Daphnia pulex: one gene and its partners. The protein of the gene in region 3 purifies or fractionates together with the protein of the main gene of each other region. This does not show direct contact. Links are inferred from orthologs where the notes say so. Each region holds a gene or a part of one and is shown on either strand. Other genes may lie near its edges.

The links.
Region 1: the proteins of exocyst complex component 5-like (region 3) and exocyst complex component 3-like purify together in Homo sapiens (affinity purification with mass spectrometry; 7 studies listed by BioGRID and IntAct, counting the BioPlex papers as one, with this or other methods). This does not show direct contact. The link is inferred for Daphnia pulex from reciprocal best matches to the Homo sapiens genes EXOC5 and EXOC3.
Region 2: the proteins of exocyst complex component 5-like (region 3) and exocyst complex component 7-like fractionate together in Homo sapiens (co-fractionation; 4 studies listed by BioGRID and IntAct, with this or other methods). This does not show direct contact. The link is inferred for Daphnia pulex from reciprocal best matches to the Homo sapiens genes EXOC5 and EXOC7.

The regions. Positions count from the first base shown.
Region 1 is NC_060017.1:4,105,211-4,109,463, reverse strand, and holds the start of exocyst complex component 3-like, read left to right. Parts: upstream 1-1,397; 5' UTR 1,398-1,549; intron 1,550-1,619; 5' UTR 1,620-1,684; coding exon 1,685-1,774; intron 1,775-1,892; coding exon 1,893-2,041; intron 2,042-2,123; coding exon 2,124-2,264; intron 2,265-2,540; coding exon 2,541-2,688; intron 2,689-2,766; coding exon 2,767-2,980; intron 2,981-3,044; coding exon 3,045-3,445; intron 3,446-3,513; coding exon 3,514-3,660; intron 3,661-3,736; coding exon 3,737-3,892; intron 3,893-3,953; coding exon 3,954-4,112; intron 4,113-4,175; coding exon 4,176-4,253. UniProt on the Homo sapiens protein: Component of the exocyst complex involved in the docking of exocytic vesicles with fusion sites on the plasma membrane.
Region 2 is NC_060020.1:3,980,170-3,984,428, forward strand, and holds the start of exocyst complex component 7-like, read right to left. Parts: upstream 2,857-4,259; 5' UTR 2,755-2,856; coding exon 2,725-2,754; intron 2,589-2,724; exon of another isoform or gene 2,566-2,588; intron 2,510-2,565; coding exon 2,344-2,509; intron 2,248-2,343; coding exon 2,054-2,247; intron 1,990-2,053; coding exon 1,872-1,989; intron 1,811-1,871; coding exon 1,713-1,810; intron 1,644-1,712; coding exon 1,503-1,643; intron 1,438-1,502; coding exon 1,275-1,437; intron 1,212-1,274; coding exon 1,024-1,211; intron 962-1,023; coding exon 782-961; intron 717-781; coding exon 473-716; intron 402-472; coding exon 256-401; intron 200-255; coding exon 129-199; intron 51-128; coding exon 1-50. Other genes in the region: palmitoyl-protein thioesterase 1-like, read left to right, coding at 3,593-3,689, 3,755-3,864, 3,923-4,050, 4,120-4,259. UniProt on the Homo sapiens protein: Component of the exocyst complex involved in the docking of exocytic vesicles with fusion sites on the plasma membrane.
Region 3 is NC_060021.1:6,829,985-6,834,018, reverse strand, and holds the start of exocyst complex component 5-like, read right to left. Parts: upstream 2,863-4,034; 5' UTR 2,752-2,862; coding exon 2,725-2,751; intron 2,670-2,724; coding exon 2,539-2,669; intron 2,479-2,538; coding exon 2,361-2,478; intron 2,306-2,360; coding exon 2,108-2,305; intron 2,049-2,107; coding exon 1,902-2,048; intron 1,754-1,901; coding exon 1,652-1,753; intron 1,587-1,651; coding exon 1,446-1,586; intron 1,386-1,445; coding exon 1,309-1,385; intron 1,243-1,308; coding exon 1,132-1,242; intron 1,071-1,131; coding exon 975-1,070; intron 911-974; coding exon 760-910; intron 695-759; coding exon 587-694; intron 524-586; coding exon 399-523; intron 341-398; coding exon 151-340; intron 91-150; coding exon 1-90. Other genes in the region: acetyl-coenzyme A synthetase 2-like, mitochondrial, read left to right, coding at 3,317-3,418, 3,836-3,965. UniProt on the Homo sapiens protein: Component of the exocyst complex involved in the docking of exocytic vesicles with fusion sites on the plasma membrane.

The sequences.
Region 1 (4,253 bases), on a different chromosome or scaffold from region 3:
GCCGAGCATCAAAGCTGTTCTCTTTCAGTTTGGCTGGCTGTCTCTTCAAATCGTGTGTCAATCTGTTTGGATCGGACGCAATCTGTCAGTCCAGACAAATTTGACCTTTTCACTATTGCCATTAAACATGACCATCGATTACTGCTTTTTGCCATATTATCCTTTCTAGCGCAAGTAGAATGCTACAATGAATCATTTGCCATCAATTTAAAAGTATAACAAATAAATAAAGACTCCAGTTTGGGTTTATCGTAGTAGGTTATACATGGCGGTTGAACATCCGATGCAATGCTGAACGAATGAATTTACGAGCAGTGAAAAGAACAATACCGCTATTATGCCATAATAACGCCTACGGACAATATGCTAATTAACATTTGATGGAAAGAACAAAGTTTCGTCCTAATTTGCGTAAGATACTCGACGAATTAATGCAGCGCCTACGATCCTACGTGAAACAACAACAGTTTTTGTTCAAGAAATCGAGCATCAGATGTTTCTACAACGAAACAATCGCCTAAAAGTCCCGTGGGTTGCCATCTTTATAAACGATGCGTTAGTTTACATAATCCCGTTTTGTTTTCGCTCTGTTTTTCAGATAATGAGACGATCCCTTTTTTTTAGCAAGTATCTCCTATGTATTTTTATTTACTCGATGTATTATTAATGAACATCTTTGACGAAACAATCAACTTACCACTCTACATTTTAACAGGCGTGCTGTGTTGCATTATCATTTCCGCAAAACTAATTGGTAATTGGCTCAATGCTATTATCCCTTTATATTAAGGCAATTTGTTAGGCTCACTTGTTGTTTTACGCACAAACTATAGGATAAAACATAGTTGGACAACGTGCTGTGTTATAATAAGATAAATATTTGAAATTGGGCATTATCAAAAATCGTGAGCATAACGGGATGACTACCGGATGTGTAATTAACGTATAAAATCGATTTTCGAAAAAAACAAAGAAAAATAAAATGACAAAATGTAGAGTAGGCTACCTACCTTCCCAATCGATCCTTTCGCGTTTCCCCCTTACTAATACGGCGCTACGCCAGCCGTTTTTTTTTTTTTTTTAACTTTTAAAATTTTAATTAATAGATTAACCTTTAGTTACTTAAGAAAACAGTCAGCCTACTCGTTGTTATCAAGTGTCACACCCTACACACAAAAAACAAAAAACACCGTGGCTTTTCCCATACTAAGAAAAACTAATCTATAAGATATAGGTCATAGGGGGAGAAACCGAAAAACGCGAAAGAGATTAATTCATATTTAGGTGGGTGCTGTATTTTGTTAAGATGATTTCAAAGATATTGCGTAATAAATAGGAGAAAAATTAATTAAAATAAACCGGCAAAGGCGAGAAGAAATATTGGAAAATCGATTGTAAGCCCCAAAATCGATCTCTAATGAACGCCCAGTCGGCCCAGTGACGAAAAACTGCCAGAGTGACAAATCATGGAATAACAAATAATAATAAAATATTTATCTTAAATATACGAAGGTGATAATTCTAGCAACCACAAGGAGCGGAGAATCAGGTAATAATTGAGGAATCACTAAAATAACCCAAAACTGAATAACAATTGTGACAATTGAATGTTAAACTAGGTTGTCAACAAAACACAAGTTGTTTGTTGTTTTCTTGGTAGTTGTAGGTTTGTGATAATAGAGAAATGAATATTGAAGTTCTTCAAGAAGAGGCAATGCTCTCTGCTTCTGTTTCATTGTCATCAATGTTGCAGCGCCCTGATCAGCTTGAAAAGGTAAAAGCTCATTTTTTGGATTGTTTCCGTAAAAAAACCTTAAAATGTAAACAACATAATTATATGTTATAACCTGATGTTATGTTTATTTGTTTTGTTTTTGTTTTATTAAATTTAGGTGGAGCAGTACAAACAACGAGTAACTAGGAAAAAAACTTCAGTTGAAGCAATGCTGAAAACAGCTGTGCAAAGTCAACTTGATGGTGTGATAAGTGGGCTGCAACAATTGCAATCAGCATTGGTTGATATTAATGACATTCGTCATAGGTATCAAAGCACATTTAAAAATGTTCACAGATGACTTCTAGACTACTACAATTATTATATTGTGTTATGTTGGCATTTAAAGGTTACATGAAATTGAAGAGTGTGTCACAACAATTCCCACACTATGTGAAAGTGTTAAAAATGTAAGGCAAGAACATGTTGTTTATTCACAATATGCTGTTGCCATGGAAAATTTGAAACATATTTTCACTGTTCCAGAAAGGTAACTTTTACATAGTTTTTTAAATTTTAAATTACTGTTTTTCTTTCAATTGAACTACTCTAACTAATTTTCAATGGCAAAATTAAAAGACATAGTTTATAATCTGGGATACATTTTAGACTTTAGTCACTAGCTGCAAGTTATTGGCCAACTAAACATGAAAATATGATGCTAAATTAACTTAGAATTACCAGCTTAAATATAAGAAACTTAGAAATGTTATTATTTCATTATCAATATAGAATATAACCATTAAAAATCCGACTTTTGTTCTAGTGTCGATAAAACTCGCCAGTGGATATCCGAAGGAAAACTTCTTCATGCGCATCAAAGTCTTACGGATCTAGAGAACTCACGTGATGACTTGCTCTACGAACTCCACAGGTTACCTAATCATTCTTTGCAAGATAAGCAAATGCTTAAGGTCTGAACATATTTTCTATTTTTATTCGCACGATGTAAATATGTAATACTCATTTAAGGAATTGTCTCAATCCGACAGGCGTATTTTTCTGGAGTGCAACAGTTGTCAGAACAATTGGGAAAGCAGCTGTGGTTACTTTTGGGTAGATCTTTGAACACAGTTCGGAAGGAACCGCAAGTGATTGTTACAGCAGTTCGAATTATTGAGCGGGAAGAACGTGCGGATGCTTATGCGGTGCAGCGTCAAAAGCAAAGTGGATTCTTGCCACCGGATAGACCAAAAAGATGGAAAGGTGATTTTCAAAATGTTAGTGCACATTTAACACATTTAATCTGTCTTATTATATCAACTTTTAGCAAGAGCACTGGAAGTTCTATACGATGCGGTCGTTGAAAGAATAGAGGGCAATCAATTCGAAGAGAGAGCTGACAATAAAATGTGGCTAGTGCGTCACCTTGAGGTGACTCGTTTGCTGATTATCGAAGATCTTCGTGTGGTGAAAACTCTGTGCGCCCCTTGCTTTCCTCCTCATTGGGATATCGTCAATCAGTTTTACCAGAAATATCACACGAGCATCAGTAAACACCTCGAAGAAGTGATTACAGCTGGCCTGGTTGGCAATGAATTTGTTACACTGTTGTCATGGGTGCTACAGACATATCCAGGTCCAGAGCTTCTCCGACACCAGGATGTCAACATCGACCCTACTTCCTTAGGGCCAATTTTGAGCGATTCTACCATAGAAAAGCTTTTCCAGGTAGCTCCAGAAATTTGTCATAATCTGCTCCTTTATACGTAACTTATGACATTTGTACATTTATTTAGGAATATATAAGTAATATGGCCTCAAACTACAACGACTGGATGCAAAAGACTGTTGATGCAGAGGCCAGGGATTGGAGACGACCCATCGTTCCGGAATCGGACGGCGATGGTCATTATCACACCGAGTCGATCGTTATCATTTTTCAAGTAATTATTCTTAGTTTCTTTTGGCAAATCGTGATGTAAAACGATTATTCACTTTTCGTTTTAACTCATTGTTTAGATGGTGGAGCAAAATCTAAGTGTGTCGCGTACAATAAGCAACGAATTGATGATGCGGGCATTGATTTTGGGACTGGAACAAATCACGCAGTATGGAGAGATGTACCGAGAAGCGATAAATCTTTTCAAAAACAAACACTTTGAAGATAGAAGCCAAGTATTTGCGTCGCAATACAGTTACATTTAGTGAATTACTAATTGGTTCTCTCTCTTTCAAGGTGCCTTATTTTACACACTACATGATCGCAATTATCAACAACTGCCTGCACGCGATGGAACTTTCTCAGCAAATGAGATCTCGGAATGGGAATAAGGGTGATCAAAGTGGCACTTCATCATTTTTCAACAAATTCGAAATTCTTAGCCAAACTTACGATGTAAGGCCTATAACCTATTACTAGTTTAAAGAGGACCCAAACTAATAGTGATTTGAAAATCAGAGCCTTAGGAATGAGGCAGCTGGATTTTTGCTAGATGAGGCTTTCCTGGATCTTGAACCACACTTTCAGGATCTGTTG
Region 2 (4,259 bases), on a different chromosome or scaffold from region 3:
ATGCTGGAACATCTTCCGAATTCCATATTGGGGCTAAGACCTTGTTCCAACTGTAGGTTATTTAATTAATTGAATAGTAACGGTGAGTTCAACAAAAAATTCAAAGGAAAGGAACAAAGTATCAATACCTTTGAGAATAAAGCCTCTTCTGTTCGTTGATCATTTCTCGGTAAATCGGCTCGCATTCTGGTTCCACAACCTAAAAACACCAAAATATGTGATTACATTTACTTTGACTACAATTTTGTGCTTTACCTTCAACAGGTCTAGTAGGCCACTACGCTGTAGTGCGCTTAACAAATAGTGGCTGTTATTTAATCGAAAAATATAGCGCAAAGAAGAATCGCTGTACGCATCGCTTTTAGTAACTAAAGTTAAATTTAGTTGAACCAACACTTTTTCTAAAAAAAAAAGGGTAATTTGTTAATCAAACCAGATTTTAAGTTAAACCTGAACAAGAAAAATGAATTACTGATATAAAGTCCTAGTAAAGCTTTGTTTCTCTGAGGTTTCGGCCAGGGTTGAGTGTGTACCAATGCGTTGGAATAACTTTGATCTTGGGCGAGAAGCGGACCGACTGTGTCAGACAAATCAGTCAACTGGCCGAGAAAAAGAACGACATTGCTCGTCATTTCATAGACCGTGCCATCTCTAGGCAATGGAGCTGCAGATTCAGAACGCACAGATTCTGCAAAGTCTTCAAGGGCCTTGCCGCACTAATCAATCACAAAATAACACAGTGATAAAAACGAATCTAAATTATGGTGAGTTATTAGCTTACGGTTGTATGGAGATTATTAACCATTGCGTAAAATCGTGTGCGAACAGAAGAATCGCATCCTTCCAGCAATTTATCACAGTCGCCTTTAAAACACACTAAATGGCGTAAGGCAGGAAAAAGAAGCAAAACGGGACCGAACTCTTGACGAGAAACACTTCGGCGCGCTCGGCCGCTTAAGCTCTAAAAATTAGTAAAGTACAAGAATGACTAACCGATGAAATTGAATCAAGAATATTTCCAACCTCGGCATCGTGACAGATCATTTCCAATGCGTCTCTGAGAATGATAGACAGAACAGCTTTTTGATGCGGCAAAGGGACAATACCCAACATAAGTCTCAGTTCACTCTGCAGTAGTCGCAAAAGTGCCGTGAATTCGGTTAAGAACGATTCGATTTCGTGTTCTTCGACAGCATCTTCTTTTATACTGTCTGAAGAAGAAACAATAATGATAATTGGGAAAAAGTAAAATAAATTTAATTTCGTCTTCTCACCCGCAGCGCTTCTCCTGGGGCCCAAAGCCAGTCCTGTAGAGCTTTCCAACGTTTGAGAAGCTTTCAAAAGCATTTGGTTGGCCTTGCGCTCAAGCATTTGCTGTAGTTTCTTAGATGTCTTTCTACTTGGAGTGTCATAACTGGCTTTGACACCTGATTTTGCCTGAAAATTATAAAAGAAGTTCATTATATATTGCCTAATAGTAGTCACAATAAATATTAGATTACCAGCAATGTAGCCGTTCCCGACATGGCAGCTACGGGACTCACGCCTTGGTGACTCGATACCCCAGTAGATGAACTTCTCAAATGATCACGAAGGCCAAGAAGGGTTTTCTGCACAGTATTTGCGCGAAACCGAGCGTAAACCTGGAAAGTAAATCAGTGACAAAGTTTATTTAATATGTCGTGGATTAATGATTGATGATTACAAGTTACATTCATGAAGTCATCTTCATTGTGAGTTACAAGCCAATCAGCTATTTGCATCAAATTGTCTTTCACATCTGCAGAGAAGTGATTTATACTTATCTCCTCTGGAATGAAAATGGAACATTACATTGAATTTTCAGGTAGTTATAGATAAATGGGGTTCACCTTCATCATTTGCTAGAGCTTCCAAAAGTGCTGTAGCAGGAATGGTTTGACTATGTTTTGCTAGGTGTTCTTTAAATTCGCTGATAATATTATCTTTGCCAGTTTCAAATAGGCTCATCTAATACAAAAGTTGTTTTTTAAGTTTGTAAGGTATGGTGATTGTAAATAAAAATGAAACTTACAACATTTTCTAACTCCACACTCTGTGGATTATTTCTCTCAAAGAAATGCATAGCTTCTTGCAATCGACCGAGGGATTGGAGAAAAATTTCTAGACCCTGACTTGAAGGGCTCTCTTTTATGACAGGCTCAACTTCCTTGCTGACACTGTAATAGCTAATGACATGATCCAAAGAGGCTAATGTTTTATCAATGTCTATAAACACGAAGAAAGTTAAAAAGAAATTTAGATTTTGTAAATTTAGAAATACAAGAAATATTGATATTATATGAGATCTCATTAATAATTTACTTTCTTGTTTCTGTTGCAAATTTTTTGTCTCATTGTAGACTGGTAAAATGGTCTTTTCAAGTCTCGCAAGCCTTTCATCAAATGAAGTCAAAATATTGACCATTCCATTAGTAAGCTGAGAACTTCTAGAAGCAGCATCTTGAAGAAAGACTAGTCCTGTCAGCACCTTTACCAATCATTAATTAAACCCATTATTTGTTTGATACAATATGTCAATATAACCAGTCATATATGTGAGTATCCAGTCACAGCAAAGAAATTTGAATTTTGTAACAAGAAATTGAGTTTAATATTCAAACCTTTAAAATTAGTATTTAAAACAAATAAAATCAAATGATATAAAGAAGAACTAAGTAGGCCTATATAAAACAAAAAAGTAACCTTTTCATGTTTATGATTAAAATCTGACATTTTGCTGAATTTCTGTCAGTTGTTTCGTTTCTCGCCATCTACCGGCTAGAAAAAAACGGTCTTTTATTTCGGTAGGGTAGACGGTAGGTAAATAGGTAATTAACAAAAAAAAGTAAATTCCTCGATTGGTGCGTCAAGTTGAAGTTGGACAAAGAAAAAAATCTAAAAAAGACGTCGCCGTCTATTATGGAAGAAAATATTCAACGTTGAGTCCATTATAATCGCAAGCACATGGGAGCAATCCGAGCCCCACTAAAATGTGGCTAATGACGAAATACGGCTCATAAAGAAAAAAAGCGCTCAGATATACCAGTTTGTTTTGGTAAAAGGTAATCTGAGGTAAAATGGAAATCTGATTTTACTAAGTTCTAAATGGGTTCTTGTTTTCACGGAAGTTGTGTCGTAGAAAAATGGGAAAACTCCAAAACGGTGGTGACTCGTGAACTATTTTGCCGTCACCCTTTCGATGACCCGCAGTTCTACGTTTTTTTGAAGCGACTTTAAATTATTTTAATAACCTTTTTACGATTTTGTTGTTTTTCCTGCAACATTCTTTTTTTTTAAGATCGCTTGAATAGCCCTCTATTGAGATCGATTATGAACCAACCTGGCCACCTGTTGAAAATAGTCAACACTAACCTTGAAAAAAGAATAAATTTTGAAGCCAGCCCAGCACCAAGAAATGTCAAATACACAAATGTCAATGTCAAATGTCAACGTGAGAAACTCGTGCATGGTTGTAATTCAATTACGTAACTGCTTTGTCTAAATTCCAAGCCAACTTATTAGCTTGACCCCGTAAGTGTATGAGTAGTCCTCCTTGGGTAAAGAATCAAGAATGAAGTACACACTTCCCTTAATGTGTGTTTTCCTCTTATTAATAAATTGTCAAATGGTTTTATCAATACTACCAATTGTGATCTGGCACGGATTAGGTAATCACATTTAAGGTTTCTACTTCATTCACAATTTCATGATAAATTTTGAAATGGGTATGTAGGTGATGTTTGCTGCAATCCATTGAGTATTGGGGGCCTACAAAAATTTATACAACAACAAATTCCTGAGGTCTATGTAATTTCGCTGAAGATTGGCAAGACCATTCGTGAGGTATTAATTCAGTATAGCTCAATTAAAAATTTACACCAACAATTCCAATATTATGTAGGATTTTGAAAATGCATACATCAAGAATGCAAACGATCAAGTTGAATTTGTGTGTGATCTGATCAAAAATGACCCTAAATTAGCATTAGGATATCATGGATTAGGGGTATCTCAAGGGGGGCAGTTCTTGTAATTATATCTTTATTGTTGAATAGTTAAGATTATCTTTGAATCATTTTAATTTTCTGCTTATTATAGGAGAGCTGTAGCTCAACGTTGCCCTGATCCTCCGATGGTAAATCTAGTCACTTTAGGCTCTCAACACCAAGGTGTATATGGGTTACCCCGTTGTCTAGGAGATGATGTCAAATTTTGTGACTATGTTCGCTCGCTACTTA
Region 3 (4,034 bases):
ATTTAACACAGCTTCTTGATTTTTACCGTCAAGAGAATTTCTGATCCTCTCAGTTTGGACCGAGACGAAGCGACACACTTTAATACAGGCCTAGATTGGGTTCAAATTATTTTAGCCGAATGTCATATGAAATGTTAGAAGCACAATTACGGGAGATGCAATGACAGCTTCATCTCCTTCTGGTTTGAAGTCTCCTTTCTTTTGTTCTGATTGTAGGGTCACTTTAACGTAACCCACGATGGCAGATAGAGACCGATCGACTCCAATTTCTAGTTTGTTTTCTAGCTGCTCTGAGATAGTTTTCTTTCGTTGTAAACATTCACCATGCTTAGGAGTAGATCTGTACAAACAGCAAATTATGAAATAGGACTCAAACATAAATATTTGAATTAACTTACACCACCAAAGGGATAATGCTATCGTGAAAAAGTTTATCCATTAGATGAACAATGGCGTTGACTTCACGAACTACACCAAAAAAATATAACTCTGGTTGCACTTTGCTTTCTCCTGGCGGTATAGCCTATTTATCAATTAAGGAAGTTAAATATTTTATTCGCCAACAACTATCGATGTAATACAAAACCTGTAGACCGATTTCGAGGGCATAATCAAGAAATTCGTCGATAAGGAACTGGAACAAGACATCCAAAATTTGAACAGCGTTGGCGGCACATTCTGACGACCGTGATAACTAATTTAACGAGGAAATAAAGGTCAATAGTGGGATCGAAGCAGTTAAATAAAGAATGAGCTTACGGAATGGCATCGGATGAGGGCCTGCTTGGTTTCATCCAATAAACTGACGGCGATTTGTTCTGAAAGAAACGTTTCCCCACCATGCGTTTCCCAGACAGCACCGGTTTTTGCTACGATGACTGCCTGCAAATCCCGCCTTAGTTCCTGAATCCTGCAACGTTGAAATTTTTTTTCAAAATGGTGCACGATTAGGAGTTGTTACACAATTCTTTTACCCTCCAGTGTTGATAGGTTTCTTTTGGTGATTTTTGTATTCGTAGAACTTCTTTAAAACGGTAGCACTTCTCTCCTTCAAGTTTCGAATTTCCAAGCTAAATCAATGACGCAAATTATATAAGTCATTTATTGTGTTAGTCGTTCAAAAGGTCTCACCTGATGTATGATTCCAAATAACGCTGAAAGATGTTCTTCACCAGTTTTGATAGAAACGCGTGATCGTTGCCAGTGTCGTAGCGTGCCAAATCAATCGATAACTTTGTTGTCCTATTTTTAAAGAAATTTTTGGGTCAAAATAGGAGAAATGTATGATTTTAAGTAATGGACAATTACCTGGAGTACAATTCATGCAGACGCTTTAAATAAATATCGGGTCTGGATCGATCTGCTAAATTAGTACTTATGGTTCCCTAATAGCATGAGCAAATTTATCGTGTGATTCACTTCTTAAATCAAGTAATTAGCAAAACCTGAAGTTTCCCATAAAAAATGTTGAGGATAAATTTTCCCATAACTTGTTCAGGGTTATGGAAGACTTCTTTCATTTCTCTTGCATTTCGTTCACACAATGGGACAACATCTAAAAATACGTCGCCACTAGAAAATGCACCCTGATCGCAAAAATAAAAACTTTTAATATTCATTCTAAGAAAATACTAAATACTATCGTGTATACCGCTTGGCTTTGCTCAATGAAAGCGTCGATACACTGGGAATATCCCTTGAAGTGGCTTAAAATAGAGGCGATATGTTTCATTTGAGCGCGATCTCCCTTGACCTATAAGGATTTAAATTCAATTAACTGTGTCAACAAATATAGTCGTTATTAAATTTAATAGAGCGAGCGATTGCTTGTGGTTACATAAGAATTCTCATCGGTAAAGCTTAGACGAGTGAGTATGGATTTACATTAAATTCTTAATTACCTGGGCTTTCGCGAACTCCTCAATTAACGAACGCTCAATTTCGTCGTACTTTTGCGCAATTTGTTTCTGCGCACCACTGTATTTGCTAGAAGGCAATTCTTGGGCAACTAACTGTAATTTTTGGATTATGTCTGCTGCTTCAAATAACTGAAAGAACATTGGACATAATGAATACGTGTCGTCATTCAAATATTAAACAAACACACCTGTTCCTTATCGCTAAAAACAGGCGAGAAAGGCCCTCCAGGCTTAATAAATCCATTGAAATGGGTCAGGAGTTTCTGAGCTTCAACTGCACGAGATCTAGGAGTGTTGACATTCTCCAATTGATCTCCTAAGTAAACAACTTTTGTTGCAACATTATTTATCCTAGAGTCCAACTCATGAAATGCTTCCACAGCAGCCTGAATAAGACATGCATTAAAAAACATACTTTACAACAAGTAGATTTAATATTACCTTATTTTTCTCTTCAAGTTTTGCCATTTTTTGCCAATGTTTATTTTCCTCTTCTCTACAAGCAGTTTCAAGTTTATCACATTTTCCCTGTACACGAACCTGAAGAACTTGGAGATGCCTAGAATTTATGTTCAACAATGAGGTGTTTACCAAACGCAGGCCTTGTAAAGTGTCTTACTTTATGGTTTCCTCAAAATTATTCAAGAGACCAGTCGCGGAAAAAGAATCGTCGCTGCCGGAAGAAGAATGTGATACGCCCATAGTCATCCAAGCAAGACGTTCAACGAATTCATTTGGATTAAACGGCTCCTTAACGGTGGTACGGTTTTAGAAATGTTACAAACATTTTTAACACGCAACAAACCTGCTCCATTTCGGCAAGGAAGTCCATGATGGAATTTCAACAAATCACTTTTTTACTTCAAAATATTGTGGTGAATTCCGAGACTGGGGTCATAATCGCTGTCATGTATTTGTATTACTGCAACTTGCATATACTGCGCCATCTATGGATGAATACCAAAACAGAAAATATTTATTTTTTATAAGATTAATAAACAAATATACACAAGATACAGTTATAAATTATTAAACATAAATTCATTTAGGAAACTTCAATTAATAAATACTTTTCTGTTTTAGAAATTAGAAATGTCAAAAGTTAATCTATCGATCTTTTAAAAAATCGATGTTTACAAAAATTGTATGTTTACAGCTGCGCTAAGAGTCTAGTAGCCACTGGCATTCTGTCATTTCCCATTTGGATCACAGTCCTTGGCTGTTGAGTGGACTGGCTGGACTTACAAGTTTCGATGCTCCCTGACATACATTCTAGTTATACAGTGAACACTTCTGCTACTTGAATCAAACATTCATCATACCCATAAGTGCACACAGGAAAATCGCCGAAAACTCTTGTTTAGTGAACGACGGTCGTTGATTTTTGAAAAATTGCAATGGATTCACCTACGGCCAGCGTGTTTAGTCTACCTGAGCTGAAAGATGTTTTTCCTGGCTGTTCCAGTTACGAGGAACTTTACAACTTCAGCATCAATGAGGTTTGTTGGCTTTATTTGTCAACCGTATGCTGCGCCCACGTAGAGCCGTAGACGCTATAGACAACCTTGTGTTACCTTGTTGATTTTGTGTTTGAAGGTTAAAAATAAGGTTGTAGCTAGAGGGACAGATCAAATATTTGACGATGTGGCTAGTACGTGTGTATGCGTGTAAAACAATCGATTATTGTTGAATACGGAAGAAGTTTTGCGCTGCTTTCGAAAATCTTGTTTTCGTGGCGTTTTGCCTACAGCATCCACTAGTTTTCTAATACAGCCAAATGTGGATGAATTGAATATAACTTTGATTTATGAAATCCAGTTATTTCGAGCGCTATGACTTGTTTGAAACGTACTAATGAAAATTTTGTAGCCCTCAGCATAATTTTAGCATTTAATTTTCAATTGGCGTTTTGACAGACGGACCTGTTCTGGGGTACGCTAGCTTTGGAGCGCCTGCGCTGGAGTCGCAATTTTGAAAAAGTCTCGGATTGCGATATGGAGACGGGCTTATTCCGTTGGTTCGTTGGCGGCCAATTAAATGTCTCAGGTACAAATTACTGATAGTGCGTCTATCAGACTGGCTTATCTCCCATAAGAACTAAAACCACTTGTTATT